2 linked regions of the Pelodiscus sinensis genome follow. The protein of the gene in region 1 purifies or fractionates together with the protein of each later gene. This does not show direct contact. Links are inferred from orthologs where the notes say so. Each region holds a gene or a part of one and is shown on either strand. Other genes may lie near its edges.

Region 1 (14,990 bases):
GCCTTCTGGCTGCCCCGTGGCCGGGGTTGCTCAGGACCCATATGATGAATTGTCACCAGCATTACAGTACGTAACGCTTCACTCTGACGAAATAGTGTGCAAATATGAATCCTTCCAACTGGTCCAAGGGGGTGAGTAAATAGCATTCCCACATCACAGGAAAGGGGGAGAGACTAAGGTTAAAGCCAATACTGTCAGGCACTTATATAAAGGTGAGCAGACTTCAGAGGCGCTAAGCTCCTGCCATTCTCATGGATCTCAGTGGGAAGCCATGCTTGGTACTCAGCTCCTCTGGCTACCGGGCCATTTAACTAGGAACTCAAATATGGAGGATAATGAACATTTGGAAATGTGGGCACAGGAGGTACAGCTGGGAACAGAACCCAGGAGCCGCCATGCCCGGGCCACTTAGCTGGACCATGATGTGGCTCTATGGGGGAGAGGGATAGAGAGGTGATGGGAGAAGTGGAGCAGGAGGAAGGGGAAGAACTGGGCAGGGAACAGCAAAGGTTAGGGGAGAGGGAGGCTGGGGAAGGAAAGCGGGGCAATGGAAGCAGCAGGGGAGGGGGGTGAGCGATGGGTGGGGAGGGCAGGCGGCGGGGGGAGAAGAGGAGAGGCGTAGAGGGGTGTAGGAGAAGGGGGTGGGGAGCGATGGGTGGGGAGGGCAGGAGGTGGGGGGGAGGGAGAAGAGGAGAGGCGTAGAGGGGTGTAGGGGGAGGGGGTGGAGAGCAGGGGAGGGAAGGGGAGGGAAGGGGAGGGGTGGATTTGGGGGGCTGGGAGACGGGACGGGAGGCGAGTAGGGGGGTGCTTTGGGGCGCCGGGGGTAGGGGGTGCTTTGGGGCGCCAGGGGGAGGGGGTGTGATGGGGCGGGAGGCGAGTAGGGGGGTGCGATGGGGCGGGGGGGTGCTTTGGGGTGCCGGGGGGGAGGGGTTGCGATGGGGCGGGGGGGTGCTTTGGGGCGCCGGGGGGGAGGGGTTGCGATGGGGCGGGGGGGTGCTTTGGGGCGCCGGGGGGGGGGCTTTGGGGCGCGATGTGGCAGGGATTTGCTTTGGGGCGCCGGGGGGGAGGGGTTGCGATGGGGCGGGGGGGTGCTTTGGGGCGCGATGGGGCGCCGGGGGGGTGCGATGGGGCGGGGGGGGGCTTTGGGGCGCGGAGGGAGGAGGTGCGATGGGGCGCCGGGGGGCTTTGGGGCGCCGGGGGGAGGGGGTGCGATGGGGCGGGAGGCGCTTTGTGGCGCTGGGGGGGCTTTGGGGCGCGATGGGGCGCCGGGGGGGTGCGATGGGGCGGGGGGGCTTTGGGGCGCGGAGGGAGGGGGTGCGATGGGGCGGGGGGGGCGCAGGACAGCAGAGCCCGGCCCGGCCCCGCCCGAAGCTCCGCTCACCGGGCCGCGCTCCCGCCGCCGCGTGCTGCGTCCGGCCGGGGAGTGGCCTCCTGCCCGGCGCTCCCGGCCCCGCCCCGCCGCTGCGGAGCCGCCACGGGCAGGCCCAGGCCCAGGCCGCGCGGGCTGGGGAGTTCCCGCGTCACCGGGGCCCGCCCGCGCGGGGCTGCTGGGGCCGAGCCGGGGCCTCCCTGCAGGCGCCTCCCGCCGGGCCGGGCCGAGCGCGATCAGCCCCGCGCCTGGGCTTGGCGGGCGCGCTCTGACGCGCGGGGCGGGCAGGTCCCTGGTTTCGTGCTTCTTGCGCTTCCCCGTGTCCCGAGGGCTCCAGCCCGCAGCCAGCTTCGGCCCCTCCCCTGCCAGGCCTCCCTCCGTCCCCGCAGAGTCACAGCTGGGAGAACAAGCTTGGAAATAAACACGATGTCTAATTCTTCCACCCCCATGCTTCCTATGATGTGCAGGATCCAGACCTCATCATACCCCGGGCTGGCATCCTTTGTGTGCTCCCTCGCCGGCTCACTTCATACACAGTATGATCCTCCTGCAGATGCTTAATCCCTTCAGGAACTTTGCTTCTGCAAGTTCTCCCATTGAAGTCAGTGAGGCTGCTCCTGGGCATAAGAACATTCAGGATCTGGCCCATAGGCTGTAAACTCTTAAGGGAACAGGAGACGGTGACGTGCCCCAGGTTTCACAGAAGAGGAACTCATCAAATAATCATTCTGATTAATAATAAATGTCCAAGTTAAATGAGACATGATTAAAGTGAATTTTCTCTGCCAGGCCTCTCCACAAACAGGAGTTTGGAATTAAGGAGACAGAAGTCAGTTTCCCCTTGTGTACCTTACCTATACACAGGGCCACAGACATATGCTGCTTTGCAGTGGAGGAAAAATACACAGCAAATGCAATCCTGGCCTTCTAGTGCAGGGCTACTCAACATGTGGCCTGCCACTCATTTGTTTGAGGCCCGTGGTATGGTTTGGGTTTACACAGGGGCGTAACGTACGACCTGTGGTGGGAGCCAAAACAAAAAAGTAGTTAATATAATGGTCTTCTGTGGATATGTGTTTTAGTAGTTAAATTCCTGGACTGTCATTGCTCATTAAAAGTGCTGTCATATGGGTGGAAATCGGGTAAATATTGCATTTTATTAATATCAGCAGAACTGACTTAAATGGGGCCTGTGTGTTGTGTAGTCTTGCCTTAATCTTTGTATTCATGCCTGTCAGTGTGAAAAAAGCTATTTGCATATATTTGCATGTATAGGCAACCACACTTAAGTCACAGCCCTCAGCATGAGCTGTGAGTATCATTGTGGCCCCTGGGGCTTCCAAAGTTGAGTAGCCATGCTCTAGTGCCGTGGTCCCCAACCCGGTGCCCGCGGGCGCCATGGCGCCCGCCGGGCTCTTTACATGCGCCCGCGGAGCAATCTGGGCTGGCCCTGCCCCTGGGCGTGCGGCAGGTGCCAGCCCCGGGCGCATGGCCGGTCCCGGCCCCAGGTGCGCCGCGCGTGCCCTGGCCCCAGCGCCGGCCCTGGCCTTGGCCCCGCCCCCGGGGGCGCCGCGCGTGCCCTGGCCCCAGCGCCGGCCCTGGCCTTGGCCCCGCCCGTGCCCCGGCGCCGGCCCCAGCCTTGGCCCCGCCCCCGGGCGCGCAGCACTTACGGGGGGAGCGCCGGCCCCGGGCGCGTGGCTATGGGGGGGGCCCCGGCCCCGGGCATGCGGCTGGGGGGGCCGCCCCCGGGCAGGCAAGTGTCCCCGCCCCCTGGCGCCCGGCGGGCGAACGGCCACGCCCCCTGGCGCCCGACAACCTGAAAAGGTTGGGGACCACTGCTCTAGTGCATACTGGAAAGGCAAAAATTAGAAACAGTGTAAAAGTGGCTGGTACCAGATAGCAGAGTTGGATTGGGACGTTCACACATTCAGGGCCGGCCCGATCCATTTTGGTGCGTGGCTGTAGAATGGATGTAAAATGGATGTAAAATTCTACATGACTGTAGAATGGATGTAAAATTTGAATAGGGTGCAAATGACTCAGCAAGGTGCTGGGTAATGGTGAATCTGGCCCTTTAAAGCTGTCAGGATTGAAGTTTGGGAGCAAAAAAAGATCTAGAAATCTGTTAGCTACCTTCCTGTGAAATGAAAATATCTCATGTATGATCTTTCTATGCAAATCATAGTGAACAAGCCAGCATGGGCCGTCCTATAGAAATGAAGCTTATTGAAGGTGATAACAAACAATTAGCACCTGAAGTAATAAAGCCAGAAAATGTGCGTATTAAAACATGGGCATTGGATTTAAAGAGATCACACTGTTTCTCTTGGCTAGATGGGCACAGACTTCACTTCTGTTTACTTACTAAATATAAAGTAGGATGAGTGGATGAGAAAGTTGAGAAACTACGCTTCCCCTGTGTTTTTGTATTTACAGTGTTAGGTAACTTATTGAAGCAAAATGCAGGACAATGTAGCACTTTAAAGACTAACAAGATGGTTTATTAGATGATGAGCTTTCGTGGGCCAGACCCACTTCCTCAGATCAAATAGTGGAAGAAAGTAGTCACAACCATATATACCAAAGGATACAATTAAAAAAAAGTTCTATCAGGTAATTTATTAGAAATTCATGCACCATGGGCCACATTCAGACCTGCAGTCAGCAGGAGCAGCTTCCCTGGCTCTGCTGCATGTGGTTTGAATTCAGGGCCACATGTCTCACCGAATGCACCAACTTTTGAATTCAGCCAAAACAATACAGCTGTAACCAAAAACCAAACAGAACGCGCTCCGGCCTTCAGGTGTTCTGTTCTGTTCCTGCAGTCACACAAGACACACAGTGACACCAGAGGTCCCTGGAGTTATTTATAGTGATGCCCGTGTCCAGTCCCCATTTGGGAAAATGTAGCTGTTATGAATTACTGTGTTTAAGCTCGGATAATGTGCCAGTCATGACACAAGCTCCCAAGTACAGATACTTCTTGCACCAATGAGTTGTCATCGAAGACCCTGATCCTGAAAGCTGTTCCAGTGGGGCTCCATGTGGGGCCAAACGTTCACTTATGGGGAGTAGCTTGCAGGGTGGCTGTTTAAATAAGAGGCCACCCCAGGGGCCTGGTTCTTCTCCATGTTTACATTGGTGTGACTCCATTGATTGTAATGGAGTTGCTCCCTGCTTGTACCTGTGCACAGGACAGGAACATCGAGGCACGTGGTCTGTAGGTTTGTATTGTAACAATAATAAATTATTGACCCAGATGTGCATCAGATACAGTAGTTGTCACCCATTGCTTAGAAACCCAGCCTCCCCCTCCTGCCCAGGCCAGCTGTGCTGGCTGCCTGTAGAGGGCAGCCTGTGACCTAGCTGGGCTCTCCGCTCCCTGGCTCTGGGTTCGCCTGAAGGCTTTTCAAACTTTCGAGCCTCGCCTCCTCCCTTGCGTCATGGAAAAGGCTGGAGTGTGGCAGGGGGACCCAGCTGTGGAGCGGGGCGCAGGACTCCAGGGGTTCGGGGGAGGGCAGAGCAAACAGGGAAAGGGGACCCCGAGGCTGCACAAGGCAACTCCCCCAAACTTACGGCGGGTCCCCCCAAACAGCAGGCGCAGGAAGGACTAAGCAAGGGGAAACTCCCCCGGCACCAGCCGGCCCAGGGCGTGCGGAGCCGGGAGGAGGAGCCCAGAGACTGGGACTCCCGAAGCGCCCTGCGTAAAGACGGCGGAGGCCGCGACTGGCTCTGAGCCCGGCCGGCAGCTCGGCAAGATGGAGTGAAGGGAGCAGAGCTCTGCGCTGCCGGTCCCCGCGCCTGGAGGAGGGGGTCTGGAAAGGGCACGTGGCTCTTCTGGGTCCCAGCCTGGGAGCTTTCCCCGCAGCCCAGCCTGGAGAGAGCGCCTCCTGCCTGGCTTCCCAGCCCTCTCTCCCAACGGAAGTGCCGCTGTTTTGCTGAATTCTTCAGGCTGCTTTTCCCCCTCCCCGCTCCCTTCCTCGGCCTGCGGACGCGAGAACCTGGGATCGTGCCTCCCTCCCTCCCCTGTGACACCTGGGGACTGGGGAACTTCAACCTGGTTGCCCCCCAAGTCTGCAGGGGGGGATCCAGCGGCTCCCTTCCTCCCCGGCCCGACTCGTTTGCTTTTGCGATCTGGAGACTGGTGCAGCGTTTGGGAAGCACTGTGCTGGGTACAGAAGGGAAGGGGAATGGACGTCGTCTGTTGATGGTTGCATTTGGTTTCTTCTCCAAACGGCTGGATTATTAGTTGTTCGGACTATCTCAGTTTCAGGGCACAGAGAGGAACTGGCTAGGAAATCATCACAACAAAAGAACCCCCTTTGCCAAACAGGATTCGGGCTGAATCGATGGAGGCCACTCTCAAATCTTTCAGCCCTTCTCAAGGGTTTGTCTAACTTTGTGTCGGTGGGTGAGTGGCAAATCCTTCCCTTTTTATTTGGTTAGCACCGTCCATTCTCAGTGGTAAAAGTGATTTAAAAATTTCCTGTCCTGAAAGAACCAGCTACTTCTCGGTTTGTCTCCGTTTTAAACTTCCCATGAACTTTTCACTTTTTCGAAGAAGGTTTTTTATTTAGGCGACTCTTGTTATTGCTGAGTGAATGTGTCACGCCTCTCTATCTTGGATTGCTTTTTGGCTTTTTAGTTTCCTCCAAACCTCCCCTCCCTTTTTTCCCCCTCCCCCCGGAGGTTTGTGGATTTCAAAAAATCAGCCCCGTCAGGAATTGCAAAATATTTGTGCTGAGATCATTTTAAGGTTGTGTTTTTGTTTTGCTTCGCCTTTTTTGTAAGGCCTCTTCAAGCACTGGGCTTCTGAATTGCACCTGATATGTTTTTTGAAAGATGGGTCAAGATTTATCTTTTTTTTTCTTAATCCTTACTAAAAAAGTCTTGCAAAAAAGGGACTTTTGATTTCTTGCATTTTATCAAGATTATTTGGGGGTATTTTTGATTTGTATGGGAAGGTGGACCGCACCAGATGGAGCTGACAACCTTATGGATGTGTGTCCGTCTGACTGAGGCATATATCACCTAATGGAGTGTGCAAAACATGTTTGATTGCCCCAGGAATGCCATTTTTCGCTGATGAATTTAAACTGCAATGTATAGGCCTTGAAGTTAAAAAATCATAGACAAATATATATTTATATTTTTATTACTTCAAGGTGGATTCACCTAAGCTCATTTCCACATCACTGTTGGTTGTTGAAACAGCCGAGGTGGTTTTAGTGGTGCTGGTGGGGAGTTGAGTTACACAGTCCTTCCGGTGCAGCCATGGCCTTGAAAGCCAGAGCACTTTACAACTTCCAGAGCGAAAACAAAGAAGAGATCAGCATCCAGGAGAATGAGGAGCTGGTGATCTTCAGTGAAAACTCCCTGGACGGGTGGCTGCAGGGCCAGAACAGCCGAGGGGAAACCGGCATCTTTCCTGCCTCTTACGTTGAGATTCTCAGGTCCAGGTCTAGCTCCAATTATACGGACCATTCAAACAGTCCTGCCAGCTCCCCTGGGAACGAGCCCTTCCATGTGCCCCCTCCCAACATCACCACCTCCTACCAGGGAAGCTTTGAGGATGATGATGATGATGACTGGGATGATTGGGATGATGGCTGCACAGTGGTGGAAGAGCCGCGGGGCAGCCCTGGCACCAATGGGCACCCAGCCCCTAACCTGCAGTACCCTGCAGCATACCCCCATCAGAACGCTGGCTATCGTCTCAAGCCAGCCTTGGAGAGGCAGGACAGCATCAGTTCCTCGAAGAGGGGCAGTGTGGTGGGACGGAACCTCAACCGCTTCTCCAGTTTTGTCCGCTCTGGGGTGGAAGCCTTTATCCTGGGAGATGTGCCCATGATGTCCAAGATTGCTGAGACCTACAGCATCGAGATGGGCCCCAAGGGCCCCCAGTGGAGGCCCAATCCGCATCCTTTCATTTGCTCTGTGGAGGAGCCCACCAAACAAACAAAATTCAAGGGCATCAAGAGCTACATCTCCTACAAGCTGACCCCCAGCAGCATCAACGCACCGGTCTACAGGCGCTACAAGCACTTTGACTGGCTGTACAACCGCTTGCTGAACAAGTTCACGGTGATCTCCATTCCCCACTTGCCTGAGAAGCAGGCCACTGGGCGCTTTGAGGAGGACTTCATCGAGAAGCGCAAGCGCAGGCTGATCCTGTGGATGGACCATATGACCAGTCACCCTGTGCTGTCCCAATACGAGGGCTTCCAGCACTTCCTCACCTGCCGCGACGACAAGCAGTGGAAGATGGGCAAGCGGCGGGCAGAGAAGGATGAGATGGTGGGGGCCAGCTTCCTGCTGACCTTCCAGATCCCCACCGAACACCAGGACCTGCAGGACGTGGAAGACCGGGTGGACTCCTTCAAGGCCTTCAGCAAGAAGATGGACGACAGCGTCCTGCAGCTCACCAACGTGGCCTCGGAGCTAGTGCGCAAACACCTGGGTGGGTTCCGGAAGGAGTTCCAGAAGTTGGGCAACGCTTTCCAAGCCATCAGCTACTCCTTCCAGATGGACCCGCCCTACAGCTCGGAACCACTCAACAACGCCATCTCGCACACAGGCAGGACGTATGAGACCGTTGGGGAGATGTTCGCTGAGCAGCCCAAGAACGATCTTTTCCTCATGCTGGACACTCTCTCCTTGTACCAGGGGCTGCTCTCCAACTTCCCAGACATCATTCACCTTCAGAAAGGTAAGCCACGCCCAGCGGCAGCAGCTGTCTTGGGTCTCAGGCGCTGTCACGATCAGGCAACAAAGCCTGTCTTGGGAGATCGCTCCTGGGACAGGGAGCACTTGGCTGTTCCATGGGGATGGCCTGCTCCAGAAGGGGAAGCAGGATCTGGCTTCATTCCTTGGGGGGTGATCTGGAGTCACCTCTCAAGACACGAAGTAGGTAACGCTGGCAGCCTCTTATAGAAGTGGCTTGGTACTTTTGGCTTACATGGTGCTCTACCTTTCAAAGTGCTGTGCACACATGAACTGAAGCAACCTCCTGTTACTCCTGGGAGGCAACTGTACATCTCAGTTTACAGCTGGGCAACCCTAGAACAATGAAATTAGGGGCCAAGGGCTTGACAGAGATCAGTAATTTTAGGTGCTTCATTTTTCTGGGTGCCAAATTTGGGAAGCTCTGGAGCCTGATTTTCAGAGACCCTGATAGTGTCTACCCCTGGAGACTTCACCTGGAGTTTTGGATGCTCCGTAGTCTGCAAGTTGCTGTAGAGCAGCGGTCACCAACCAGTAGATCAGGATCTACTGGTACATCTTGGAGCTTCTGACAGGTGATCCTGACTAGTTTGGCCAAGAGGCTGTCAAGTGCCTGAATTTCAGCTGCCTCTTAGCTCCACTGCTGTGCACCTCCTGCCCTTTGCCTTGGATCTGCCCCTGCTCCTCCCCCGGGAGCCTCCTGCTTTCTGTGCAGGGCAGGGGGAGGGAAACGGGGGGTTCTGATGTCAGGGTGCCCCCTCTCCCACTCTCTATCCTTTCTCCACAGAGCAGAGAGGGGTCACAACAGGACTTGGGATGGAGTTTGCTGGCTGCTTTAGGGAGTGGGGCAGGGCCAGAGCAGGGGTGAGCCTGCCTTAGCCCCACTGCACCACCACCCAGGATCCACCAGCAGTGCCCAGCTGGAGCCCACATCCCCAACTCCTACCCCAGTCATGAACCCCCTCCTGCACCTCAAACCCTTGTCCTAGCCCTGAGCACCCCTGTACCCAAATGCCGTCCCAGAGCCTGCACCTAGAACCCCTCCTACATCCAACTGCCTGCCCCCAGAGCAGCTCAGAGCCCCTCTCACACTCCAGATCCCTTAATCCAAGACCAAAGCCTGCACCTCAACCCTTGCCCCAGCCTGATGAAAGTGAGTGAGGATGGGCAAGAGAGGGAGAATGGAGAGAGCGGAGTGGGAAGGAGGTGGGGAAAGGGTATTTATATTTGAGAGAGATCTTGGATTGCACTTAAATTCAGAAAGTGATCTCGTGCTTAAAAAGGTTGGAGACCCCTGCTGTAGAGGCTAGAGTGCAACAGCTGTTATTAGAGGACACTTTATGAAATTTGGGCCTAAGTGACTTCCCCAAGGCCATACAGTGAGTCAGTGGCAGAACTCAAGTGTTTTTGCTCCCTGCCTGGTGTTCAGTCTCTTACAACTTGCTGCCTGTGGAGAGGGTTATTTGAATCTCTGGGACCAGAATATGGGCCAGGATCAGCCTCGTACACGGCCCAGACATGCTGCTTACTGCCCTATATTTCTTGGCATTCCACCATAACATCAGGTCTAATTTTCCTCCTGCCAACTCACACTTAGAAGGGGAAGCCAAGTGCATTTTGGCAGCCCTGTGATTGGTTCCTCGCGGGGGAGCCCAGCCCTGAGAGGAACTTTCGTGAATGAACTTTCGTGAATGTGTTCCTCCTCCTTTCTTATCTCCTTCATTGAAATAATGAGATCTTGGTCAAGTATCCTCCCTCTCGCCAGTATTGGGTGGGAGGGAAATCTAGCGATAGATAAACCCTTGTTTCCCCACACGGACTACTATACTCGGATGTGATGCATTTGTATTGGTGTTGCTGGTTGCAGAGAGCAGTCCACGACTACCCTGGAGGCTCCTGCTCCCTCTACCACTGCAGAGCACGAGGCATTTGCTAAGACGCCAGTATCAGTCATCATCACCTTGTGCTAGTGGCTAGGAACGTGATTGTTCTGACCCTACGTAGTCATTTGCTTCTAGGGCAGTCCAGGCCTCTGGTAGCTCCTCTCAGAGAGCCTCGGAGCAGCAGAGGGGAAGAGGTCTTGGAAATGCATTGTCCCAAGTCTGCCAGTGCCGAGCCAGGCTGTGCTGTTGGGCAGGAGAATCCTGTTTTATCCCCAGCAGAAGAGAAAGGGTGCCCAAGAACCAGGAGATTGGGAGTGGCAGGGCCAGCCCAAAGTCTTAGCAAGCCGCTTGCCAGAGGCCTGGAGATGCTGGATTCCCGAACACGCTGTTTGTGTCTGTGTTTCACTAGCAGCAGAGCTGTGTGTGTTTGGGAGACTTACTCTAGAAAGCACTGCACTTGGGGAAAGGCAGTCCCCTTTAATCCCAGAAGTCATACTGCCCACCCCAGGCTCCCTCCTCTGCTCATATGTGGCCTGGGGAAAGTGAGACATTTGGGTGTTGTGGGGACAAGTGGAGAAACAAGAGTTACTGCATTGTTAAACTCCAGGAGGCCCGGGTCGAGGTGCTGCAGGAACAAAACGCCTGCCCAAGAGAAAGCAGCCGTGTCCTTCACAGAGGGGGAGATTTCCAAAAGCTCAGGCCACCAGCTCCGACTGGAGAAAAATCTACCCATAGACTCTGCCTTCCTTCAGGGATGCCACTCCTCCCTCTCCTCCCCCCCCCCCCCAATTTGTATTTCCATCCAAGGGGAGGAAGCTAGCAAAAGGATCCAGCTCTGATTTCACTCCAGGGCAAATATTTTGCCAGTGAGAAAGTTCAGGCAGGAAGGCTTGTCTCTTAAGTGCTTTTCTACCATGCTATTGTATGGATCAAGGAAGCCATAGCAGATACAGAAGGGGTGCGGTTCATGGGCGGAATCCGGTTTCTATTACCGTAAAGGTGAGTCACACCTGGCTCACAGATAAATGAGGGAAAAGCTTATGTGTTCATGAGGAAGTGTTCTGCTAATGCTGAGAGCCACCCTTAAACTGAGGTTTAGCTTACACTACAAGGTTAAGTAACAGAGAGGTAGCCGTGTTAGTCTGATCTTGGTAAAACAAAAAAAGCAGTCATGTAGCACTTTAAAGACTAACAAGATGGTTTAGTAGGTGATGAGCTTTTGTGGGGCAGACCCACTTCCTCAGATCATATTCTGAAAGTGAATTGGCATGACCATTATATAACAGAGGGATACAATGAAAAAAGTAAACAAATTACAAACTAACAAATCAGCTACATAGAACAGAAGGTGGGGGCGAGGGGACAAGGAAGAGACAAGGAAGAAGGAAATTCCTTATTGTATGAGTCAATTAAGTGGCTGATCTGGAGTTACTACGAATATCAAAAGGTGGGGAGGCCGTGTTTGTAACTGTAAGGTAATTATCATCTTTATTAAGGCCCACTCACAATGTGTCGAATTTTAGCATAAATAAAAGTTCTGAAGTCTCTCTCTCTAATCTGGTGTTAAAGTCTCTTTGTAGTAAGACGCATGTTGTCAGGTCTTTAAGGGAATGGCCAATTTAATTAAAATGCTGGCTGACAGGTTTCTGAGTGTAGATTTCTGATGTATGATCTGTGAGCGCTGATTCTCTGATGAAGTGACTGACCAGTTTGTCCAATATATATCGCAGAGGGACATTGCTGGCACATGCCCCAAGGAGAAATGTATGCCTCCTTCCTTGTAAGATGTTCTATATTTCTTTCCACTCATTCTTATTACTAAGGACTTTTGTGTGAAAGTAGGCCTAGAATCTAACTGGGTGAGGCTTGGGGCTGTAACCATGACCAGGAGTCATAATCCTCTGTTTGTGACATCATGTTGTTAACTTCCTCCAGAGCCTATTGTTCTGTCACAAACAGAGAACTCTAACTTTGGGTCAGGTGCAGCCGGCCTGGATAGAAGCTCTTAGAAAGGAGAGATCCTGTTTTCATGCAAATAGACTTGGAGCTCAAGAATGAGGGAGAGGAATGATGCAGACAGAGAGCAGAATTCCTTCTCACAGAATTAAAAAACAAAATTGAAACAGCTTTTCCCACGAGCACCAACTACTGACTCAAAGCCTTCTCTAGATTGGGACTGTTGTTGGTGTATCTTGAGCTAGTTCATTTCCAGTACATGGCTGGATTAAGGCATGGGCTAGCCGGGCAGCTGCCCGGGGCGCCAACCTGTGGGGGGCTCCTGATGGCAGCTGTAAGGGGCGCACAGTGCCCCTTATAGCTGCCATCAGGCGCCGCATGCCCGGCTCCTGGATTGCGGGCTGCAGCAGCTCCCAGAGGCCACCCTGCAGCGGCCACCCGGGACAGGGGTCGCGTTAAACCCCGCAGTGCTGGCCAGCAGCTCCCTTCCACCCGCGGCCGCAGGGCCCTGTGCGGCCAGGCTCGGCCAGCCCCAGACTGCGCGCCAGCGGCGGTAGCCGGGCTGGGCATGGCCGGGCACGTGCGCCCTCCCCCACATGCCAGGTGGGGGCGGGGCTGCGCATGCGCCCTCCCCCAACCTGGGGCGCAATTAAACTGTCTGTCCGGGATGCTGGAATGTCTCGGTCTGGCCCTGTTCCAGTAATTGCCAAATCAGTTACTCCACAAAAAGTGTTCCTGGTCGTGACTCCTTTTACAGCTCATTCTGACCTTCGGACCCATTTCTCAGTCTGCATCATTTTCCTTTAATCCTCCCTGAGGCTGAGTGTGAATCAGACATACATTTAGCACCATCATTTGCGTTAATACTTATGTTAGAGCTTGTCTGCATGAGAAAGTTGCAGCAATTGAACTTATGGTGTATTTTAAACCAATATAGTTAAACGGATGCAAAAGGCTATGCGGATGCTCTCATTTTGGTGTAAACCAGGGTTATTTTAATTTAGCTCCAGTCAATGATTTAAGATAACTCAAAATGAGCCACTTTAATATGAGGGTTCACACAGAGGTTTGTGCTCACTTAAATCAGTTTGAAAATTGATTTCAGTGAAACTATTGCAACTTCTGCACGTGGACAAGGCCTCAGTTAAACTGGTACACTTCTGCATATGAATGAAGCTTTATATAGCTTAAGTACATTGATGATCAATTCAACAGTGCTACATGATTCAACATTCTAAGATAGGCAAAGCTTAAAAGTCAGTAACCAGAATGGGAAAAGTTCTGTCTAGCATCTGAGGACAGAACTAATAAAGTGAAGTTGAAAAAGGACTCTTGTATCTGCCTTTGAAGTAGCTAGTTGACAGTCAGCTCATTTGGGCAGGAGCTGACTTTTTGTTATATGAATGTACAGTCCCTAGCACAATGGGGGCCTGATCAGGAACTCTAGTGATCTAAATAATAAAGTCCCTTGCGAAGCCCATTTTGACTTGCCTTGCATACAGCAATATCCTTTGCTATCATTTTGATCTGAGGAAGTGGGTCTGGCCCACGAAAGCTCATCATCTAATAAACCATCTTGTTAGTCTTTAAAGTGCTACATTGTCCTGCATTTTGCTTCAGCTACCCCAGATTAACACGGCTACATTTCTATCACTACTTTGCTATCATTGCATTTTAAAATCAAGGCTCGGTTGAATTGTTCATGGCTAAGAATGGGTCTGACTTCTGGTTTGCAGTAAGCTATCCCATTGCAAAGTGAGTGTGAAACACTTTACACCACAGGTGGTTGGAAATTTTTAATCATAATGGTTTTTAAAAAATTTTTTATTACAAAGTTGGCCATTTTGGTTGAAATTGACGGTTTAAAAAATGTGTCATTTTGACAAATGTTTTTTAGAAAGAAATGATATGAAGCTTCTCCATGACGTTGAAACTTCTCATTTTGTCCTTTCCCAAATGGATCACTTCAGTTTTTTATTCTGAAAAAAAATTCACCGTTTTTCGTATAAAAAAACAAACATTTTAAAATGTAAATGGTTGAAATTGCATCAAAAGGAAACATTTCAGTCAACTCCAAACTAATTTGGGGTGGAGGCTGATTTTGTTTCACAGGAAATATTTTGTTTGCTGGCTATTTTAGAAAGGGGAAAAAGTTGAAATTGTGGAATTTCCTACAAAACATAAACTCTGGTTCCTATTCTGCTCTGCATTACACTCACTGTGCGCAAGACAGGGGAGAGTTAGGCCTAGAGTTCACTGCAAATTTACTCTTTTTATTCTCTTCCTAAACTTGCTTATATTTTTCACATCCATTTGTGAGTGGGGATTCATTGAACAGGCTGTGCAAAAATGGCTTATTCGTAGCTTGTTCTTTTTGACTAAACATGGTGTTTGGTCACATGGGAATGTTTCTGCTCCCCTGATCAGAACGACTGAAACATCGTCTTACTCAGGAGCACAGCACGTAACTATCAGAGAACGACTAATGTCCCGGTTCCCATGTATTTACAGCAAGAGCACCCGGTCTGCTTACATTCATGCACACAAAATCTCATTCACAGAGCATTTACAAACAGTAACAAAGGCAGAGAAACAAGGCCAAACCATACAGCCCCGGAGCCGCCGTTCTCCTTTCCAGGATCCCTTCCGGGCTCATTGGAAACAAAGGGAGGATTTCCCTATATGTGTCTGAATAGACTAGGACCTTGCAGATAATTTTTGCTCTTGATTGAGAGCAAGTTGGAAATGATCTTTAGGCACCGAACACATCTCAAACTGTGAGGGATCTGGGAGCCAACATGTCACTTGCCCCCTGTGCTGCACGCACCCCGCCTCAGTTTCCCCTCTGGGAGTGCCAGTCCATTCTGGGGGTTCAGCTCATTGGCCATTTCACTATCAAAGGTCAAACACCACTCCCCCCCACCCCAAAACCCCTGGCTGCTCGAGCAGCTGGTTTTAAAGTCACAGTCCCCAACTAATCACAAAATAAAGGTGTGTTTGTCCCAGTTATCAGCCCCTCTGAGGTTAATCATCCGCCTGTCCTCTGGTGCGGAGCTATC
Region 2 (14,766 bases), on another chromosome or scaffold:
TTAGTCAATGCACATGTCACTGTGACATCAACAGGATGGTTCGAATCCTGCTAGCAATGCAATGTTAACACACCACTTTCTATTTCCTCCTGTGTTTCTCTCCGTAAGAGAGTTGAAATGACTCCTCTACGGAGAGGTGCATTGCTACTGGCAAGACCGACCCTAGTCAGATTCCCCACATCGTTTTCAGTGGGCATTAAGTGAGCTTCACACTGAAGGCATTTTAAAGATCTGAATCAGATTCAGGGATTAATTTGCAGTTATGTTGGGACTCTGAAGACCTGAGCTCAGTTCCTGCTCTGCCACAGCCTCCTTGGGTGACCTTGGACAAGTCATTTTGTCCTAGCTTCAGTTCCCCCATGGGGAAATCCTTTTGTTTCATCTATTTAGACAGAGAACTTCAGAGAGGCCGTTTTACTGTGACTGCACCGTGCCCAGCACTGCAGGAGTCGCCTCTAGGCTCTATCACAAAATAAATAAGTCACAATGGATTTTGAACAACTAACTTACGTAACCAGGATCCAAAGCTCCTCATTGTGCCACCTCCCTGGTATCTATGGCCAATAAGCAGACTAAACCTCAAGGCGGCTTGCAATTAACCCGAGCAGGTAGAGCCAAGCACACGCCTTGCTGTCTGACCAGGAAGTACAGGAGCTCAGTTGCCCTTATAGCTTGGGAACAGGCACCACTCTCAGAGCAGGATGAAATCTGAAATGTTCTCATTACTGCTATTTCCCAGGCATTTCTCAGGATTGCTTGGTGCCTATTAACTAATTTGCTATGGGCAGTTCTGAACATGAGGTAGCCTGAGGTGTAGTGGTGTCCCTGGAGTCTTGTCCCTTCCTCTGATGCATCTGGAGACAGGATATCAAAACTGCTGGACCATTAGTGATGCTTCCTAGGCAGTAATTTACAATCCATACATTAGCTAACCCACCAATTTATTATGTATTAAGCTAGATCAGAGTGATCAAAACATGCACAATCTTAAAGGGAAATTTACCAGCACTAAATATTTCCATTTACAGGCAAGAGGGTCAGTAGTTTTGTAATAAAAGCTTCCATCCTTTGTAACAACAAAGCAGGTAAATTGGAAAATAAAAGAGATCAAAATATTCCCTTATCTGTATTACTAACATGAGACATTACTCCAATATGCCATGAGGAGAGGCTAAAAAGCACTAAAAAGCACAGTTTCAAAAAAAGTCTAATTTACTTGTGTCTTGCTCACGCTTCAAGTCCAGCTCCCACAAGCCTCACACCACACAGGACTGGTCCACCTTGTTTTCAGCATCAGCTCAGTACTATTATCTGAATGGCAAGTATCCCCCAGAGATGTTGACACTCAAACAAAGACTATTTACATGGACATTTAAGTCATTCCTTTTAAGCGCTGCCCACACTGCTCTTAGGAAAAATGTTTGGTCTTCTATTCAGGTTCTTTCGGGACACACATCCCATGAGACCCAGCACCTGTACCAGTTTAACTTTACACAAACAAGCAAGGCTGCTGACGTAAGTGGGACTCCTGAGTGCTTAAGAGTTGAAAGGTTCTGGCTCACTGCATGGAGGATTGACCGGATGTTTGTAACCCAGTGCTGGTGTAGCCATGTGGACCTGAAGAAGGGTTCAGTGCAAGGTCAAAAGTCCCCCCCCCCCCAAAAGAAACTGGTCCAACAAATATTATCCCCTTCCTTAGTTGCCTTCGCCTTGTTAGCCTCACTATGTTCTCTCTGCATCCCTCCACCAGCTCGCCCCTTTGCTACTGGATCGAAGATAAGCCGCTTGTCTTCACTTGGCCCATCATTCACTAGATGTCAACACCCACCTCACACCTGCCACGCCCGGCTCCCCACGCCCATGCCTTACTTTTCCAAAGAAGCCCCTTCATTTCAAGGGAGGGACCACGTGAGGATTACCTGTCGTGATCCCTCCCTCTGGGGCATCAGGCACTGTCAGCAGCAGGGTACTGGACTGGACGGACCTTTGGTCTGACCCAGTGTAGCTGTTCTTATATTCTTATGTATTCTCTCCAGCTGCCCCTTGTATAAACATCCTGTTTCAAACTCTGCTTTAAGCCTTTGTAGGTATCACAACAATGACGCCGCTGGTATGTGGAAACTCCTGCTTCCTCATTGACCAGTCCTGTCTCATTCCTTTGACTCGTCCATTAGTCTGCCTGTATCCACCTGTCATTTCCTCATACCTGGGAAGCTTTGAGACAAGAACCAGCTTTTTTTGGGAGACAGGAACCAGCAGTACCACTCCCCCCCTTCCCGCTCAGCATAGAGCACCCTGCCCAATGGAGTCCTGGCTCATGGCTGGAGCTCCTCTTGAGGAGTTTAGATCAGCATTTGTTCCACCAAGTCTGACCTGCCCAACCCCAACCCGCCAGGTAAGATTTTCCTGTTGTAACATGTACAGGGTCAAGCATGGTGCCATGCTACAAGCGGAGGGTCCCAGCCTGGCCAGTCAACCCTAATGCTGGGTTAACCGTTTCAGGCAGCTCCAGTTACACCAGCGCCTGTAGTTATAGCTGCGCTCCCTTTTAATCTCATCCCAAACGCTTCTGTAGCGATGAATGGAGAGAACACAGCAGGGGACACTACCCAAGCCATTGTTCTTGCCACACAGCAGGAACTTTTGATCTTGTGGCTTCGAATGTGGAAACCCACCATTGAGCGTGCAGCATTCGACACAGACAGCATAATTACCCTCAATTACGAACAAAAGGGCCCTGCTGCAATACAAAGTTAGAACTAGAAGAGCTGACTGGAAGATTCCAGGTTACCCAAAAAAAAACCTTACAAAGATTTTTGCCTCACGTAAAACCTGCCTAATTCAGACACGTATTGAAAAAGATGCTAGAGATTTTGGTTAACCCCTTATTAAAGGCCTCCTTGCTGAAGGCTTAAAAGCTGTGAAACAAAGATTTTTTTAATTACGGGGCAGGGCTTGCAGCGTCACTGTAATTATAGGCTGCCAGTATATCCACTGGCAGCTTCTGAGGTGGTAATAACTTGACCATGTGGATCCCAACAGTGACAAAGCTTAACTCAACGCATCAGCCCAGGTGCAAGTTTTGTTTTACAAAACTGGATTTCAATTGATCCAGCTGCTTTTTAAAAAACCCATCAATTAGTAAAGATGGAAGCACTGGGCTTCCAATGCCCCCTCCCACAAGCTCTCCGCAAGCTCTCCATCCAGAACACGGCTCAAACCCACATGATAATGAAAGACCAAGATCAGATGCAACATCACAAGGCCCCAGATTCTGATTTAAGACACATGATCATTGTCACCAACCTAGGAAAATTGTAAATAAGTGAAAAGATTCAACTGCAGGATCAAAACACTGGAAAATTCCTTGTTCTTCCCCCCCCCTCCCCCCAACAGAAAGAATAAATGACTAGTCTGAGATCATTATGATTAAGAGGCTAAAGTATCCAAAAATGTAGGGAAAACAGCCCAGCCTGAGTCAAACCGAACACTGCTCTTTGGAAACAGACAAGGCACAACTTCTACTCAAGCCCAGGCATTACAGAAGAGGCAGGGAGTGGAAATGCAGGACTAAGTGCGCACAGTCTACATTAGGGATGGGAAAGGTTGGGCAGTTCCAGCTAGCCAGTGAGGGCTTTAGCAGCTCCAGCCCTGCAGGGAACCCACCATGGTCAGGGGCTGCTCTGGAGGGGCTGGGAGCAGGAGCCCCATGGCCTGGGGGCTGTTCCCACCAGACTTAGTAGGTTAACCAGTTAAGTATTAGGTTAACCTAACATTTAATCGGTTGACTGGTTAGACGTGAAGAATCCAGGGTTAATCTACATATCAAGAACTCAATACAGCATCTGCTGTATGCCAAACGGGGCCCCGCCTTGCTGTGCGCTTTAGAAACATATCAAGTAGTCATCCTTGCCCAAAAGGCCTTACATCGCCTAAAACAGAACTAAGGGTGGGAGCTGAACAAGCCAGAGACAAAATGACTTGCCCAAGGTCACCTGGCAGATCAGTGGCAAAGCAAGAACTAGACCCATGGCCTCCTAACTCCCAGTTCAGTGCCTTATCCACTGGGCCATGCTGCTTCCCACAGTGCCTCAACCTTTATTAAAGCTATTCCCCATCCAATACTATGAGGCACTACCGGAGAGACAGATTCCAGATATACCCAGTTAGATTGTCCTGTTCTACCAAAGATATCCTACAAGTAGCAAAAGTCACGCATTAGTTACCAACCTTTTACCCGCATCCTTTAAGCTAGGACAAGCTGTAGAAAAGGCAGAAATTCAACACACTGAAAACTTAGGTCAGCCTGAGACAAGACAGACCCTTATAAGTGACCTTGCTCCCCAGGTCACAGGGGTTAAGCACCACAAAAGCAGAAACAATTAAAAGGGACTCGAGTCACACCAGAAGAAATAAGCCTTTAAAAACCCAAAGCTTTAGTGGACTCTACAGTCCACTTGTGCAGTAGCTACCCTGTCACCACACTACCTTGTGACTGACACCTCACCTCAGCCTCTCCCCCTTATCTAGCAAGCCCACTTGCTGCAGCTTGTCTTCGAATGCACTCTCCCAGAGCAGGGACTGGATCCTGCAGACAGATCCATGAAGGGTGGGACCGAGGCAGGAGCCTAATGATCCACACTAAGGATATAATAGAGCAGTTGACTAGTCGGTTATCCGACAAGCAGGTCCTTATTGGTTAATGTATCAACTACACGCAACATTCCTCTCCCCATATATTTTTTAGCAGGCTGGCTCAGTCGCAGCATTAACCCCCTGCACTGGTTCTTAGTGCTTATAGTGCAGAGCCACAGTGGGGGTTGATGCCAGGTCCCAGCATAAGCCGGGACTGAGCCAGCCTGCCTGCACACTGGCTCTTCGTGCCAGGCCCCAGCATCAACCCCTGCTGTGGCTCTGCAGTACAAGCGCTTGTAGTGCAGAGCCACAGCGGGGGTAGTGGCCGGAGCCAGCAGGAGCCAGGAGCGAGTGGTAGCAGTGTTACTCCTTACTGATTAATCATGTAGTTGACAAAACGTTTGTCCACTACACAATTAACCAATTACATGCTTCTTAACATCCCTAATCCATCCAGGTACACAATTTCCAGGTCCTGGTTTGTACAGCACCAGCAGAAAAGGACCCCATTTGAATTAAGATCATCATGGGCATTATTGCCATGGGAACAGCAAAAGGCTAGGACTCTGCTATAAGTCTAAGATTAACTTGAATGAAGAACAGGTTCCAGTTTCTAGAATTACGCTCTGGAACCTTGTCAGCTGCTCTGACAAAACTGTCCTCCCCACCTTGCAGACACTTGTTCTCCTGTAGATCCTTGTACCACTTTTTAAAGAGTCCTGAAAATTGTGATTAAGGAATTCAAAGATGCTGACATCTACCCCCACTAATCTGCAAGTTAAGTGCCATTAATGAAACAACAACCAAAGCTGTTCTGTTAAAGCATCACACAGAGCTTGACTTCAGCTCGAGCGATCAATACAAAAAAACCTCACACATGCATTCCACAATTCACTAACAATCCAGGTTATTCTTAGACCATTGAAACAAAATGCTGACCGAACCCAGCCTGACTACAGAAGCACTTTCTTTTTCACAGGATCATTTTTCAGCAGATTCTAAAGTCCATCTCCGCTCCATTTCCCACTGGTTTGGAAAACTATCACTGAAACAGGGATCATCACTTGAAATTAAATAGCCCATGCAGTACCACAAGTGCAGATCCAGTGTGCTCCGGGTATACCAGAACATTTGTATAAAGTACAGTTAGCTGGATCAAGTGGCACACTGGCTCCTACCAGTGCAGATTAAAGATCTTCCTCCTTGGAGTTTAAGGAATTAAAACAAATACTAGAACAACCCTCTACACCAGCTGGCCCACTCTGCTCATATCCTGCATCTTAACAGATCCCACCAGGCATGACAAACCACTTCCCCAATTCTTATCCCATTGAAGTGGGTGGAAGACGGTTTATGCAGAAGACAAACAGGAATTACCTAAGTCTTCTCTCTCTCAGGGTAACATACAGCTCGCCAGTGTAAAAACGGAACTGGAGAAGGTAAGGGATTTGGAGACAGAAACAAGAGAGGCCATGGCACCTGAGACCTTATGAAAAGCTCCACAGGGTCTATCAGGAATATATAGACTAGACAAGAGCTCAGCTTCTGCTGCAGTAGCTGGCAGTTCCCAAGAAGGTGCAGGGGGAGGGGGGAGTTAGCAGCAAACAGCCTCCTCCTAGCCAAAGTGCCAGTCCCAGCACCTTGCACCTGCAAGGCTCAGCCCCAGGGACCCTTCGGCAGGAACAGGGTGGCAGCAAGTGGGGCAGCGGCCTCTCGGGAAGGGTGGGAGTCTGCAGCCCTGCCCCCAAGGCTCAGGAGGCCGGCGCGAGCCCCCCCCCCCCCACCAGGCGCAGGATGACAGCTGGGGGGGGGGAGGAGAATCCTGCCCCCCCCAGGAGCCCTGCTCCTTGCGTGGGGGGCACCCCAGAGCAAGTCATGGCTCCTGACGGGGGGAGGGGGGCTCCATGCAGCCTCTGGGGCAGGGGACAACTGGGGGGAGCTGGCCTGTGCCCAGGACTGGGGGACGCGCCTGCTGCCCCACCCCCCTGCTATTCACAGAGCGCTCTACGCCCGCTGCGTCCCGCGGAGAGGCGACCTGGCTACGCCGCCAGCGCGCGCGCCCTACGCCAACTGCGCACGGCCCCGCTCGCGCCAGCGGCGCAGGACCCAGGGCGGCGCGCGCTCGCGAGTGACGCGAAGCGGATTCACAGACCGCGCCTGCGCCAGCCGCGGAGCCGCCCGGCCGCTCCCGTCCCGCCGGCTTACGCAAGCGGCGTAGGCGCGGCCGCGCGCTCCCCCAACGGCAGTACGCGGCGCGCGCGCTCACCGGCCCACGAAGTTCTCGAGCACGGAGCTCTTGCCCGCGCTCTGGCCGCCCACCACGGCGATCTGCGGCAGGTCCAGGTGGCAGCTCTGCCCGATGGAGCTGAACGCGTCCTGCAGCTTGTTGACCAGCGGGATCAGCTCCTCCATGCCCCGGTTCCCCATGGCGGCCGCGGGGCCCGGCTCCGCAACGGCTCCCGGCCCAGCTTCCCCTCACGGGCTCCTCATCCGCCTCCGGCGCCGCTTCACCCCTCCCTGCCCCGCCCCGCGCGGCGGCGCTAGCCAATAGGGACGGCCGTTCCATCAGAGCGGGCGGTGGGTGGAGGGCTGGGCCTCATCGGCGCGTGGCTATTGGTCGCCTGCCCTGTCACTGGCTTCTCCCAACCTATAGCGTTCACGCGTGACCTTGTCAGGAAGGCGGGATATTTAGGTCCCGCCCTAATATCTCCTTTCTGGTTCCTCATTGGAGGAGAAGTCAGTCGCTCTACCTTAGGGTTACGCCCTCTCCGACCCTCACTGCGCCCTGTCTCCATTGGTCAGAACTTTTGTCACTCTGCCACACCATCCATTTCATTGGGAGAGGCGGGACTTTTCGAGGAAAGGCGTGATCAGAATGTCAATCATCATGTCCCTCCTCGTTATTGGTCTCCTGTCCTCTTCCCTCCCCTCCCTCCCCCCGCCGGTACCGTATTCCTTCGTATAGAACGTATCTCAATCGAGTACCTCATTTCTCCGTATAGCAGCACGTTACATTAGCGTATGTCTTCTTAATTTTTTTACCATATATCTCCCTCTAGAAGCTCATGTTACATTACCTTAATTCTCTCTGTTTGGCAGCCCCTTGTCCATACAGAAGCCTACTATGAACCACCCCCCATGGGGTAACATAGCTCTCCTAGCTAGACAAGCTGCCCTCCTATATAGCATATTGCCCAGTTTAGACGCCCACCATTGGGCTACCGTAGTTCCCCATATAGAACCTGTCCAATGCACAGTTCAGCAGCGCCACTGAGAAGGACGCTTATCCTAAATCTCTTGCCCGACTCCAGATAGGTGCCAAAACTGTTTACAAACATTGTCACTTTATATGCATTTTATTTGCATCGCCGTTCTGCCTTGAGACCACACTCATGCTGCTGGAGCCATTTCAGTCTGCCCCCAGCTTCCTGCTACCCCCCACATGCATCCTTGGTAGATTAGCAATAGGAAGATTCCCAGTGGGCGTCGCAGGTAGCCCCTACCCACGATCCAGAAGGGCGCCACGGGGCACCCAAAGGTACAGGATGGTAAACCGAGTCTCAGGCTCTACCCCATTTTCCCACTGGAGGATGCACTAGTGCTGGTATTTTAGCCACTCTCTGCTGCTGCCCATCATCCAAGGTCTCAGGGCACCTTCCGCCCAAAACAGTAGCAAAGCCACTAGGGGATTTCAGGGAGGGTCTGCCATTGTTTCCTTTTTGGGGCCAGGGAGAGAAATTTCTACCTTAAATGATAATGCATTTAAAGGGCTATTGGTCTCAGGAATTTTTGTGGCTGGGGGGGGCGTTATTAAGTAGAAGGAGAGGCTCAGAGCTGGGCACAAGTAGGGTGACAAGATGTCCTGATAATGTCAGGATGGTGCCACTATTAGGGGCTTTGTCTTCTATAAGTGACCTAGAAGCCCCCGCCCCCAGCACCCTGATTTTTCACACATGCGGGCTGGTCACCCTATAGATAAGTGTCAGCCTTAGGGCAGAACGGACAGTTTCCAGCATTCCTAACGCCATCAGACTGGGGCTGGACCTGCTCTCTGCTGGATGTTTGCCTGAAGCCAGTTTCCCCTCCACTGAGCACAGCTCCTGCCTGCTTGGGTACCCTGACTTCAGCTCAGGAAAGTGTCTGCTCAAGCCAGGACGAGGCCAAACTTGCTGAAGGGTTTTTCTGCACAGTGACTTTCCCCACAGGCTCTAGGAGCTGCAGCAGCCCAGCCAAGCTTAACACCCTGGCCACTCACAGTAGGATGGGGTCAGGACCCAAGCCCGGTGCATCAGGCCCGAGAAGTGGCAGCAGAGCGGGAGCTGGTTGGGGAAGGAAGGGCTGTTCTGCACATACAATGCAAGCCCCGGAGAGAAAATCAAGCCAGTTTCCTATAGGACAAGGGGGCAGCCAGCTGGGAGGGGCAGCCCCTTCTCATCCACACCAGAAACCCAAGTCTTAGCAGCAGTGTCCTGGGAATCACATTCCCGATGGCTCCCCCATTCACACGGCCCCAAACTCAGCTACCGCTGAGCAGGCAACTTTCCAGAGCAGCGTGTGCAAGAGTGTGAATCAAAATTGTTGCAACCCCAAGGAAAAGAACCTGGGGGGGAGGGGGGGAGACAATCTCACTGGTTTGTTTCCATAGTCACAAGTGTTTGATTTTGACCGTTTTTTAAAGGTGGCGGGAGGATTTAGCAGAAAGCTTCCCAGCCGGTTTGCCCCAGTAATACCCTCTCAGCCCGCTAGTTCACCCTTGTGCCGCACCTGGGCAGCGCCTTACGCCCACTCCCTAGGGAGTCGGGGAGCAGGACAAACGCTCGGCCATGCCGCAGCCTCACCCCGCTCTGGAGGAAGTTGGGTTGTTGTCACTGCTTTGATCTCGGTTGGGTGCTGGGGCTTCTCAGGGCACAATCCACGGTCCCTTGCACAGGGACTGCACGGTAGTGCTCCCCCAGCACAATTCCTGTGCTCACAACAGAATTAGTGTGTCGTCTTCGAATCGCAACTGAGGCCCCATTGGGGCAGGTGCTGCAGAGACAGAGAAACAAACCATTGACCCTGCCCTGAAGAGCTCGCCAACTAAACAGACCCAGGGTGGGAGGGGAAACTGAGGCACAGAGTGACTGCTCAAGGTCTCCCAACACGTCTGTCCCAAAGCGGGACTAGAACACAGGTCTCCCCCGTTCTTACAAGGCATAGGGCTCATTGATTCTCCTTGGATTTTCCTCGGGTGCTGCTTGGCCTGGCTCTTCTGGTGCCAGGGGGTGCCAGGGGTACAGTGTTTACAGACCGGCACATACGGCCCTGACAGTGAGTGCTAGAGGAGGGAGGTTAATGGCTTCCAGGCGACCAAGGCCCATGGGTGAGACACAAGCTTTCAGGTTCCACAGAGCTCTCCCAGGACCAGGGTCAAGAGGCCCCCCCCCCGGCCGCCAGGACTTACACAGTGATCCTGAAACCATTACAGCCCATGCTTAGTGGAACTGCCCCCAGGTGACTGGGGATGGCAGGGGAAAGGGGTACAAGGAGGCCACCCAGAGGAACAGGGAGGGGGCACCCCTGTAGCAGGGCCATGGGAGATGCTCTTCCAGCATGCTACCAGGAGTCACCTGTGCCCCCCCCCCCAAGCTTCCCAGTAGAAGCAGGTTCTGCCCAGACCAGGAGCCCACAACTCACCCCAGCGCCAGCCCCTACCAGAACAGCTGCCAAACCAGCAGCCACCCCCACCGTGACCCATCCCCCTCCCCCACGCACCGCCAGGGGCCCACACACACCTGGCCCAGCAACACAGCTGAAACCAGACACTGGCGCTGCTCTAACACCGCCTCCCACGGGTGAGCACAGGGCACTGCCCAGGGGCACAAACACCTTCCAGAGAGGAGTCCGGGAGCGAAACGTCGTCATGTGGCTCGACTCTAGAAACCAAGGACTGGAGGCCCCTGGCTGTAACGCTCTGTAACCCACTGCCCCCCACCCCCTTGTGGCCCTGTGACTGCGGGGTGCTAGCGGGCGGGGGTCTGAGGACCTGCATTCGCTCTTTACGCCAGCCCCCTTGGATTGCGCTGGGCTGCCAGGAGCCTTTCCCAACTGCAAAGGGCAGTCAGGTGAGCTCAGGCGCTCGGTCCCCTGAGAGAGCCTTCCCCCGCCCCCACCTCTCAGGGACCCAGCAGCACCTCAAATGCTAGTGAAGAGGCAGTGAAAAGCCAACAGCAGGAGTCTGCTTCTGAGACTAGATCCAGGTACCCAACCGTGGAAGCCGGCAGCAATTTCCCCTCCGGAGAAAGGGCCTCAGCCCGGTGAGTTTGAAAACACCATGGCTCTGTCTAGTCACGGCTTCTTGCGCCAGAAATATGCAAATGAGCCTAAGTGGGGAATATTGCTGAGCCTCATTTGCATACCTAATGAGCCACCATTTTTGCAGAAGAGGCCCTTGCGCCAGGAGCTGTCTACGCTTCCCCTTCGTGCGCAACGCCGTTCTTCCTGAAAAGTAAGCGGCCTTGCGCAAGAGGGTGTTTGTTGCACAACCGGGGCGGTGTAGACAGCTCCTTCTGGCGCAAGGGCCTCTTCTGCAAAAACGGCGGCTCATTAGGTATGCAAATGAGGTGTGGCAATATTCCCCACTTAGCCTCGTTTGTAGACGTAGCCCATGACAACTTTGGGCAAGCTGAGCTGCTTTCAGGAGGGGGTGGGGAAGAGATCTGCTCATTAACTCCCTCTAGAGCCTGCCCTTATCCATGATGCATTTGGGAGCGTGCACGCCCACCCGCCCCGCAACCGGCGAGAGCTCGGACCACCCACTCCGCCAGGCAGCTTCCTCGTCTAGCAAAGCGTGTCGGGGTTTGGTTGTGCCAGGACAACAGGCCCTGCCTGGAATTCAATTGTTTTCTCAAAGGGTCAGGCAGGAGGGTGAGTTATGCTGCAGAATGACCACAGAGGGGCAGAGCTGGGGCCCACTGGGCCAGAAGAGGGACAGCCACTGTCCATTGCAGAGTTTGTCGTCTGTCCCCCCCGCCAGGGGACATGCCCCCTCCTAGCACCTGTGCCCCCTGCAGCGGCCAGGGAGAGGCGCTTCTCCCCTAGCCCCAAGCCGCTGCGCTGAGTGCGGGCCGAGGTTTTCCTCTCTGCCCAGGGCAGCCTGCACCCCTCAGCGCTGATGGAAGTGAAGAAAACCAGCTTCTTAGAGTTAGGGACCCGCCCGAGGCCGGGTAAGACCCTGCTGGTTGTTCTGCGGGTGGCCTTGGTCTCCCATGTCCAGCTCCCTGCTGTACCGCGAGGCTATGGAGTTAGGTTTGTAGCGAGGAGGGCAGCGAAGGGCTGGGTGCCCCATGAAGTAGCAACACCCCACAGTGACAGGCTGCTGCAAACGCTTCCTTTGGGACCAGCAGGCCTGTCAGCCGGCAGCAGCCCAGGGCTGGACCAGCGCCCAGCAGGCCAGGACTGAGCCAGAGCAGCTGCTGCCAGCCTGGCCCGAGAGAGGAAGGCTGCAAGACTGTCCGTTGGTTGTGGGCAGAGGCTGGTTGCGGGGGGCAGATCCACAGCCAAGGCTGCTGCCCGTGAGCAGGTGATGGGGAGATGCCCCCAGCTCTGGGGTAGCCCCAGGAGCACCCCCCAGCACCAGCGAATAGGTTTGATTGCACCCTGAAGCAAGTTGCAGTCGCTTAGCCTACTTGCTCTCATGTGGCCCCCTCTAGTGGCGTAAGTGCCATCGGCTGGGGAAAGCCCCTTAGCCGGCTGGTCCCCGTCACCCCCCTCGACGAGACCCTCCCTCACGCACACCCCCGCCCCTCCAGGCAGGGCTCCAGGGGCAGGAAGAGGGGCAGCCACAGCTCACGTGGAAGAGTTTTATTTGTAAAAATCCAAGCCACTGTGACGTCATCCAGTGCAAGGAAGGGAAGCAAACACGGTTCAGACCCCAGGGTCCAAGTCCCAGCTCTGCCACCGCATCCCTGTGCCTCAGTTTCCCCATCTCCCTCCTGCACCTCACCTAAGGCTCTCCAGACGAGGGACAGTCTTGCTCACTGCGCATCACCCAGTTTAGGAGGCCCAGCCTCTATTGGGGTGCATCAGAGCAACCATGGACACCCACCGAGCTGGCCTGGCCCTCCAGACAAGGGCAGCCCAAAAGAGGTTCCCTGGAGCCAGGAGCCCTCAGTGAATCCCTCCAGTGACCCAGTATCTGCTGCTGGCCATTTGTGCAGAGGACTTCCGGCCTCTGCCCGGTTAGTCACACAGCTGGCTCCCCAGTACAGCCCCTCCCCCCTTGGACACCAGCCATTCCCCGAGGTGAGTCCCCACCCAGCCCGGAGCAAGCTTATCTGCCCCCACGTTGTCATTCCTTGCAGGTCCCTTTGCTAGCCCCTGCCTGGGGCTGCTTCCTGTCCGACTCCGGCTGCATCCAGCACCCCTGGCATGCAGCGTCGCCTGCCTTGGCCTTGCTGCCAGGGACCTTGGCCAGGGGCGCTCGGGGCTGTGCGGCCCGGCTGGCTGTGCCCCGCGGCGAGGGCGACACAGAGCCCCGCAGCCCTGTCACAAGCTGACTGAGCCCTGGGGGGAAGTGGCCAGTGCACAGCGTCTCCATGCTCCTCCTGGGGCTCCTGGAAGAGAAAGAACCATCAGCTCCAGGGCACAGCTTCCAGAATACCTCCTCAGGAATGCACCACTGCCCTCCACTGGATGGCCCCGGAACTGCCCTCCTGTGTCATAGGCCCTATAGCGCCAATAGCTAATGGAGATTCTCCTGGGGCTCAGTGACAGGCGCTTCCCGAAGAGCTCCAGGTCCTATCCTCATGGAGCGCCGCATGTCACAGCACGCAGCCTACAGGCCACCGAGTCCACGTCGATTGTCGGCTGCGTGGAACAAGGCAACGTTTGTCCAGCGCCTAGCGCGACAGAGCGCTGCTCCCAGGCTCCAGCGTAAGGCCAAGTTGGAGCACTGCATGCTGGGAGTCCGTTCCCATGGGCTGGCGCCTGGCTACGCTACATGCAGGTCTAGGAGGAGCCGTCCCCGGCGTGTTACCTGAGGCCCGGAGCGCGCTGGGGGCTCTTGGCGGGCGAGAAGGGGAAGGCCGGCAGGGAGCGACGCTGGCGCGACAGGTAGCTTCTGGGCAGATCGGCGGGCAGCTCCACATCCAGGGGCAGAGCCATCTCTGGGCACGGAGAGGACAGGGACGGATCAGCCCAGCCAGGCATGGGAGGGGCCGAGAGCCGGGTGAGCTGCCCCACCCAGCAGCACTGGCCCAAGTCACCGGTGTAACCCAGGTTCCTGGATTCCAGACCCTCTGCACCCACCCAGGGACACGGGCCCGGAGCCACACAGGCGATAGAGCCCTGGGGCCCCAGCAGGGCGGGGTCCGAATCCCCCTCCATCTCCAACCCCTCCCCCATCCAGCCCGTCTCCCCCGCCAGGCCCTACCACTGCGGATGCGGCTCAGCTCCGGCCCCAGCAGCTTCCCGTCCAGCGTCAGCAGGACGCATTTCTCCACCTTGAGCTCCGGGCTCAGCTGATCCACGGCGCGCAGGCTGGGCCGCTCCAGCGCCTCCCCTCGCAGCATGGCCAGGCGCTCCGAGCGCAGGGCGTGCACCACGCTCATTGCTGGTGGGGGGAGAGCAGGGGTGGCATGGGCCAGCAACCCCCCATCCAACGCCCACCCTCAGGCTACAGCCACGGCCCTTCCAAGTGCGCCAGGGAGAAGGCCCCAAAGCCGGCATGAGCGTGGCAGTGACCCCCACCCACGTGTTGGCCCTTGGTGCTTTACCCAGCCCCACGGCTGGGTCCCAGCTCCCTGTGCTCACCGCATCACAGTGAGCACCACTCCTCGCATGCCCACGTGCTAAGGGACATCGCCCGCGTCCCACGTGGCACCAGAGCGCTCGGGGGGCCCTGTCCCACACGCTGTGGCCAGTGCCCACGGTCAGCCCCAAGATGGCCAGCTTGAGCCCCACTGCCAGCCACCCCCAGGACAGCATTAATGTTCCCCTCCCCCCCGCTGTGGGAGCGCCATGACCCAGAGCCCTTTGGCACCTGCTGCTGGCTGGGCAGCCTCTCCTGAGGCAAGGCTGGCAGGATGACATGCAGCCCCCCAGCCGGCCTGCCAGCCCTGCCAAGTGACCCACAAGCAGCATGTTAGCCCC

What was found.
Region 2: the proteins of SNX33 (region 1) and DNM2 purify together in Homo sapiens (co-immunoprecipitation; 3 studies listed by BioGRID and IntAct, with this or other methods). This does not show direct contact. The link is inferred for Pelodiscus sinensis from reciprocal best matches to the Homo sapiens genes SNX33 and DNM2.

Annotation. Positions count from the first base shown.
Region 1 is NC_134724.1:34,382,731-34,397,720, reverse strand, and holds the start of SNX33 (sorting nexin-33), read left to right. Parts: upstream 1-4,804; 5' UTR 4,805-6,643; coding exon 6,644-8,078; intron 8,079-14,990. UniProt on the Homo sapiens protein: Plays a role in the reorganization of the cytoskeleton, endocytosis and cellular vesicle trafficking via its interactions with membranes, WASL, DNM1 and DNM2. Acts both during interphase and at the end of mitotic cell divisions.
Region 2 is NW_027465894.1:170,313-185,078, reverse strand, and holds the start of DNM2 (dynamin-2), read right to left. Parts: upstream 7,160-14,766; 5' UTR 7,063-7,159; coding exon 6,902-7,062; intron 1-6,901. UniProt on the Homo sapiens protein: Catalyzes the hydrolysis of GTP and utilizes this energy to mediate vesicle scission at plasma membrane during endocytosis and filament remodeling at many actin structures during organization of the actin cytoskeleton.